Linked DNA regions of Schizosaccharomyces pombe. The protein of the gene in region 1 interacts with the protein of each later gene in a biochemical or structural test. Each region holds a gene or a part of one and is shown on either strand. Other genes may lie near its edges. The genes, in order: hus1 and ape2.

Region 1 (3,928 bases):
TCAAATCTTCCGCCTGATCCACTGGTACCGACCGTACAGGCAATGAAAAAGGCTGATGACAGAATCTTACATGTTCCTCGATTTGTGGAAGGCGGCGGCTTATTTACTTATTTGACTCCATCACTAAAAGCCAATTCTCAATTATTAGCTTATAGCCCTTCGTCCGTGAAGTCATTAGGACTCGAAGAATCTGAAACTCAAACTGAAGCTTTTCAACAGCTTGTTGTCGGTTCTAACGTTGATGTCAATAAGTGTTGTCCTTGGGCGCAATGTTATGGAGGATACCAATTTGGGGATTGGGCAGGTCAGTTGGGTGATGGCCGCGTAGTATCCTTATGCGAACTTACCAACCCGGAAACTGGAAAACGCTTTGAGATTCAAGTCAAAGGCGCAGGAAGAACACCATACTCTCGATTTGCAGATGGAAAGGCTGTTTTAAGATCTAGCATTCGAGAATATTTATGTTGTGAAGCTTTATATGCTCTAGGCATTCCAACAACACAGGCTCTGGCAATTTCCAATCTTGAAGGTGTTGTAGCACAACGTGAGACTGTAGAGCCTTGCGCCGTTGTTTGCCGTATGGCCCCTTCTTGGATCAGAATTGGGACTTTCGATCTCCAGGGGATTAATAATCAAATTGAGTCTTTACGGAAATTAGCCGACTATTGTCTAAATTTCGTTTTAAAAGATGGATTTCATGGTGGAGATACTGGAAATCGCTACGAAAAACTTCTTCGAGATGTTGCATATCGAAATGCTAAAACTGTAGCCAAATGGCAAGCATATGGATTTATGAATGGTGTTTTGAATACTGATAATACCAGTATACTGGGACTATCAATTGATTATGGACCTTTTGGATTTTTAGATGTTTACAACCCATCTTTTACACCTAATCATGACGATGTATTTTTGCGATATTCATATCGCAACCAACCTGATATTATTATTTGGAATTTATCAAAATTAGCATCTGCTTTGGTTGAGTTAATTGGAGCTTGCGACAAAGTTGATGACTTGCAATATATGGAACAACTTCATAACTCTACTGATTTGTTAAAAAAGGCGTTTGCTTATACTTCTGAAGTTTTTGAAAAGATAGTAGAAGAGTATAAAAATATTGTCCAGAATGATTTCTATGATCTTATGTTCAAACGAGTGGGTCTTCCCTCTGACTCATCTAACAAAATTCTGATAACTGATTTGTTACAAATTTTGGAGGATTATGAATTGGATATGCCAAATTGTTTTTCCTTTCTTTCTAGAAACTCTCCCTCTTCAATGGAGAATGAAGAATATGCTGCAAAATTGATGCAAGCATGTATTTGTCTAAACCCGAATAATGAAAGAGTTAGAAATGAATCTGTCAAAGCTTTCACTAATTGGGTTGGTCGATATAGTGAAGCAACGAAAACTCAGGAAGATTCATCCCGATTAGCGAGCATGAAAAAAGTCAACCCACATTTTACTCTTAGAAATTGGGTTCTTGAAGAGGTGATTAAAGAAGCATACATCGGGAAATTTGAGCTTTTTAAAAAAGTGTGTAAAATGGCTGCCTGTCCGTTCGAAGATACTTGGGGGTTTTCCAAGGAAGAAGAGGATTATTTATGCTATAACACTACTCCCTCCAAAAGCCAAATTCAATGTTCCTGCTCTAGCTAGAACCCTTCTTACTTGCCATTTATTTTTTTAATGTAATTTAAAATTTAGGAATAGCTAATCGTATGAAATAAATGATACAACGAATAGGCTCTTGAGTATAATTTTTTTTAGACTCTAAGACTTTTGTAAATCTTTTTAAATTTTATTCATTAATTTTATTCCACTTGCCATTAAAATTTGCATTTGCTTAATAAAGATTGCGATGCAGTTGCTAATGCCCAGTTTGCTATTTCTTAGCTGGCTTTTACGCGTTCGTAGTTTTTTCGACCGAAAATTTATTATTGGTCGACTTTAACCTGCTAAACGCTTGAATAAACAAAATGCCAAAAAATCTCAATCTCATTAGTTAAATCAAAGACTGAAAATGAGATTTAAAACAAGGATTAGCAACTTGTACACGTTGACGCGTAAGTTGGAAAAGATCAGCAGAAAGTTCGTTTACTAATCAAATTTAGGTCTTGTTCAGGCGCTAGATAAAATTGGAAGATTTTGCTGGCTTCGTCTGATGCCTGAAACTGTAAATTTTGTGATAGTGCCAGATTTTAGGATGACTCAAGTTTGGTCGTAAGTGAAGATATTAAGCATTTAACGGTGAAAAAAATCACATTGTGAAACTAATAAAGAAACAGAGTTTTAGAAGTCGTATGATTAACTATCTTTTTCTATTTGATTGCCCTAACTAACGTAAACGGAAAGGAAACAATATTTGAGGACTATGTCGTCCAAAGCAATGCAGACAACGTGATAAATCTAGAAGTTCCTATAGATAATTTCTATAAAGCCTTACGATCAGCGGCCAACGCTAGTGATTCTACTGTTCGTCTATCCAAGAAGAATAACCAGCCATTACTTTCGTTGTCTACCACTTGGAGTGGAAGGGCGTTTGGTTCGAATATTGTGACTCATAATATACCTGTTCGAGTACTATCACAATCATACGTGTCAGTTATTAAGGAACCAACTGCTCCTGAACCAGACTGTCATATATTCCTTCCACAACTGAATTTTCTAAGACACGTCGTGGACAAATACAAGAGTCTTTCAGACCGTATTATAATGTCAGCCAACATGTCAGGCGAATTGCAGTTATCGGTAAACATACCTTCAGCTAGAGTAAGCACAAAATGGAAAGGATTAGAGAATCCAGAGTTAGATCCTAGTCAAGTCGAAGACATCAGTCGACATCCCTCTCAAACAAGGGCACCCGAAGAATTTGTTCACATGAGACTAGACAGCAAGGACTTAGTCAACATGTTAAAAATATCCAGTGTTGCAAAGCGTGTAATAGCGTGTATGTACTATGAGAGAATCCTTTTTATGACCACGAACTAACCTTTTTACATTACAGGTTTCTGTGAAGGACATGCGCTAGTACTTTATGTTTATATAACAGATCCAGAAGATGAACATACGGCTGTTTTAACATACTACATTAGTACCTATGTGGACTAAGGTTACTTCAATTTGTTTATGATTTGATTTAATTAACGAATAATTGTTATGAGTGACTAGCCACATTTTTAATGTACATTAAAATGAAAAGAGATTAATCAACATCTACCATGCTTATACTTATTTTCTCTCTCTTCCTTTATCGATCTTACCGTTCTTTTTTATTTATTTTATACAGTTGTTGTAATCTCGGCAACTCAGTGTTTTACTATTCCGTTGATATCTCTTAAAAGGATAACACCAAAAAGAAATATAATGTTCAAGTCACAGAAAATCTGTTGATAAAATCCATATGTTTTCACGTTTTCAATGAGAGATACATACGATTAAACACAAACGTATGTTTTCAAGCAATTAACTTGAATATGAATAAACCTTGGTTCATCTTTCTTTAATCTTTTAGACAAGCAACTGTTCAGAAATCTATAAAGTCTCAATTGAACATTTAAGTGCTCAATGGGAAATATATACTTAATAAAAATTGAATATTTTAATCGTTTTTTTGAGAAGATATATGCCATTGACTGTAGCTTCTATTAATTTCCGCCTATTCTTTCTTGTACTTTGGAGGCATCGCTATACATTTTACGTAGAAGTGATGAAAATGGCGAGTTCCTCTTTAAAAGTGCGAAAATTTCAGGCTGTCTGTCATCGGAATTGACTATGTTCGATAGTTATTCCTCCTCCGATGCAGTCGGCTACACATGTAAACTGTACCAACATTCAGTACGAAAGGGGCTGAACGTTGTTACCTAGAAAAGTTGGTATCGCAATAGAGGTAACGATAGTGAAAATCCCACAATAACTTAAATAT
Region 2 (3,928 bases), on another chromosome or scaffold:
TTTTAAGTTTTAAGGGGGCCCAATAAATTACAGTATCTTCTTCGGGTTTAACGTCTCCTGTTGACAAAAATCGATGTTGCTCAATTAAAAGCTCTCCATCATTGGTTTCAGAAACGGATAGCACGGGATAACCTGTCTTCTTAGTCCAATTGTGCATAGTGGAAGAGATGTCCTGACCTGATTCTGCCGACAAGGCAGCCCATAAGTCTTCCGTAACTGTGTTACCATAACGGTGCTTAGAAATGTATTTTTGAATACCCTTAATAAACGTATCTTCGCCAACATACTTGCTAACCATGCGGATAACACAAGAACCTTTAGAGTAAGAGATAGCGTCAAATATTTGGTTAATTTCGTAATCGTGCATAATGGGAACTTCAATAGGATGACTGGAACGAAGTGCATCCAACGAAAGAGCAGATTGAAGGTTGTCTGTAACATAAGATTCCCAAACCTTCCATTCAGGGTAAAAATGGTTACAGCTAAACCATGACATCCAGGTAGCGAAACCCTCATTAAGCCATAAGCCGTCCCAAAATTGCATGGTAACAAGATTACCAAACCACTGATGGGCTAATTCGTGTTGTACAACTTCGGCTACACGTTCAATTACAGTAGCAGCGGAATCCTCAGAAACCAAGATGGCAGCAAGTCTGTAGGTAACTAAACCCCAATTTTCCATAGCACCTGCTTCAAAATCAGGAATAGCAACCATATCGCATTTGGGTAAAGGATATGGCTCGCCAAATACACCAGAGAAGAAGTCTAAGGTCTTAGCACCTAATTCCGCAGCAAATTTACCCTGTTCGGAAAACCCAGGTGTAGTATAAACACGAACAGGAAGACGGGGGCAATGCTTGCCAGGGGTGAAATACTCAACGTATTCGAGTTCGGCAACAATCCAAGCCAAAAGGTAAGTGGACATTCGGCAAGTTTCGGCAAAACGGGCAGTTTTCAAACCATCCTTGACAGTTTCCTCAACGGCATTCATGTTACTAAGGATAGTATAGTTTTCCTTAGCAGTGATATCGATGGTAAAGGTAGCTTTCAAAGCAGGTTCATCCCAGCAGGGGAAAGCACGACGAGCACTAGTAGGCTCCATCTGGGTCGTGGCAAGATACTTGGTATTACCATCGCTGTCAACGTAACTAGAGCGGTAGAAACCCTCCATGCCACTGGAAATACGGGCAGTGAAAGGCAACGTCAAAACAGCAACAGAGTTGGCTGGGACAGTGGAGGGAAATTGAAGAACGATACGCTCATCCCCATAAGAGACTTCGCTGGCCCAGACGGTTTGGCTGCCCCATTCTAACGCAGCCGTCAAAATACGAAGGTTAATGCCATGTAGAGTAATACTGTTGCTGTCCTCAAGTACATCCAAGGTAACGACGACTTTACCGCCGTAAGTGAACGTCTCCAAATCTGGATATAAACTCAAATCATAGTGGATGGGTTTAACATTTTTTGGAAGCAAATTCCGATTTTTATCGTCTTCCTTAGAAGTAGATTTAGGAATGGTGACTTGCATTTTTACAAAAGAAAAATAACGCTGAAAATCAATACAGCTAAACTAGCCAGAGCAATAATGAAGCTGAATAGAGCAAATGTGATACGATAGTGGGAAAGGTGAAGGAAGAATTTGCCAACTAATTAAATAATGGTACAAAAACCGTAGGAAGATGGAATTACGAACGATGAGTCAGTTAGTTAGAAAAAGTATCGATACGAACAAACAAACAGCCGATAACGATCGATAGAGTAATTCAACAGACTCCTTAATTAATCTTAAAAAACCTAACGTTAATTTTAAATTTTAATAGTCAAAGAAATGTAGATGTCGTTTTCCACGCTGTGGAAATGAGAACGATGGGAAACGGGATGGAACAGATGATAATTTGTCCAACAACGCTGAAAAGCACACGATTACACACTTAAACGTAATGATATTTTCCAAGCAACAAACGAAAAACGTAAAGACACTAAACGACGAAAAGATGTAATAGGTCTAAGCTGCCAATGAAGATGGTTAAGTAGGTAGTTGGTGTAAGTAGAAGGTTGGTGAAAGCACTATGTGTGTGTGCCCAGGATATATAAGCGTCTGATGGAGTAAGCATAGTTTCTTCACGTAACATAAGTATCATAAACAACTTATTTTAAAGTAACAACAACAAATGATAAACCCCAATGTCGTAACCGACTCGAAATCCCATATCCAAGGTGATTTTAGGGAGTATAAACGAGCTCTCCTTAAAACAAAAACAGAAGCAACTAGTTAGATATTGATTGATGCTATGAATTCTGCTGCTTTTTTAAGATAAAAAATATTAAATGTAAAACAAGAAGAAACACATCTTGTAGCTTGACAGTTGAGAGAAAACATTTCAAAATCCCCCGAATGTGCTAATGTTGGTGACTTTATCACTCAGTGGAAGATGAGATAGTTAAAGAAACCGGAGCTTTTCGATGTTTAGAATAAAACCACGCAAAAATATATTACCGTTTTGTGCAGAAAAAACTACATCACTTTTCTTGGTTCCGAAGCGCTAAAATTACCGTCGATAAATAGAATAGACAATTCAAGGCAAGACTTGTAACAAGAAAAAAAAGATTTATCCCTCACATAGCAAGGCGTTTTTATTAGGCTTAGAATATTTGGTCTTCAAAAACAGTAAAGCTCGTCCAAGCCAAAAATACTTGGTCTCATCGGTGGTAACGATTGTTTGATTCTATTTACAAACTGCCTTTCTTTCTAAGATTGCTGCGGAGCTTTTCTACTTTGCCTAAGAAAAATGAAATCGGCAGTGCATGTCTTATGACAAAAAAATTTTTGCCCAAGAATATAATTACTTACTGCTCGACTCGCTTATTGTCAATCCTCCTTTAATACCAAAGTCTATTTCTACATATTTGGTAGCACGATCATAGAATTTACGCCAAACGAACGTAAATTTCAATTCCAATCTAATAAATCGTTTGTATGTCACTTAATCGCTCTCATCGTTTCTTCATTCCCGACATCATATTTTTTAATACTTACCGTAACAAAATAAACAAGGGTAAAATTGTCTGGAAACAAAATTACAATACAATTTTGATAATTGACTTTCTTTTGCAATGTGCCGTATACCTCCTTTTATAAGATAAGATCCTCGGATATTGCAGAGAAACACCAACGACTCCTACGATTATAGGATCCTTCCGCACCATTTTAGTGCCCCAGTGTGGGAACTTAATAGATACAACAGAGATAACGATAAGGTGAACAAATATGAAATGCATCTAAACGTTAAACGACATACAGCATGTGCATTGTTAATACCCGTGGAGAAGACAGAGCAAAGAACACTAGGATTTTTTCTTTTATCCACGGCACAATCAACTATGATATTTCACATTACAGCCATAATAGTGACAAAATAGAAATGAACGTAGCTTGTTAAACCCATTGAGTATCCTGTCCGACAAACAAGCTGTCCCTATAACACTAAAAAATGGAAGAAATTTCGATAATTCAAAATTAAGTAAACAGCAGGTTTTTAAAACCCACGAATACAACCAAAATTTACACAAGACAGACAAATACAACCAACACATAACATGAATAATATTAAAATGAATTAAAAAACATTAATGAGTCATACAAAAAATTTAAAACTTATACTACAAAGCAAAAAGCTATCTGAACTACCGACCCACAGAAAAAGTATCAATATGACTATTCCTGTAAGGGCACTAAGATGTCCAATATGGCTCTGGCCCACGTATGACGCTCAAACCATTCCATGGAAAAAGAAAAAGAAAAGTGAGCAACACGAATTGTGGGCGTCGGTATATAACCGCACGATAGGGAAACTTCAACTTAACAAACTCACGTTTATAGACCTTTGTGACTGTTTTTTAAACCCTACCCTTTTAAGTAATTTGTTTG

Evidence for each region.
Region 2: the proteins of hus1 (region 1) and ape2 form a complex in vitro, tested with the Schizosaccharomyces pombe proteins (one study listed by BioGRID).

What each region holds. Positions count from the first base shown.
Region 1 is NC_003424.3:4,820,677-4,824,604, reverse strand, and holds hus1 (checkpoint clamp complex protein Hus1), read left to right. Parts: upstream 1-1,901; 5' UTR 1,902-2,026; coding exon 2,027-2,069; exon of another isoform or gene 2,070-2,117; coding exon 2,118-2,226; exon of another isoform or gene 2,227-2,291; coding exon 2,292-2,304; exon of another isoform or gene 2,305-2,358; coding exon 2,359-2,953; exon of another isoform or gene 2,954-3,010; coding exon 3,011-3,114; 3' UTR 3,115-3,618; downstream 3,619-3,928. Other genes in the region: fmp40 (adenylyltransferase), read left to right, coding at 1-1,662. UniProt on the Schizosaccharomyces pombe protein: Essential in controlling the S-M checkpoint that couples mitosis to the completion of DNA replication. It is also required for the response to DNA damage.
Region 2 is NC_003423.3:2,411,107-2,415,034, reverse strand, and holds the start of ape2 (aminopeptidase Ape2), read right to left. Parts: upstream 2,058-3,928; 5' UTR 1,529-2,057; coding exon 1-1,528. Other genes in the region: SPOM_SPBC1921.04C (uncharacterized protein), read left to right, coding at 3,631-3,928.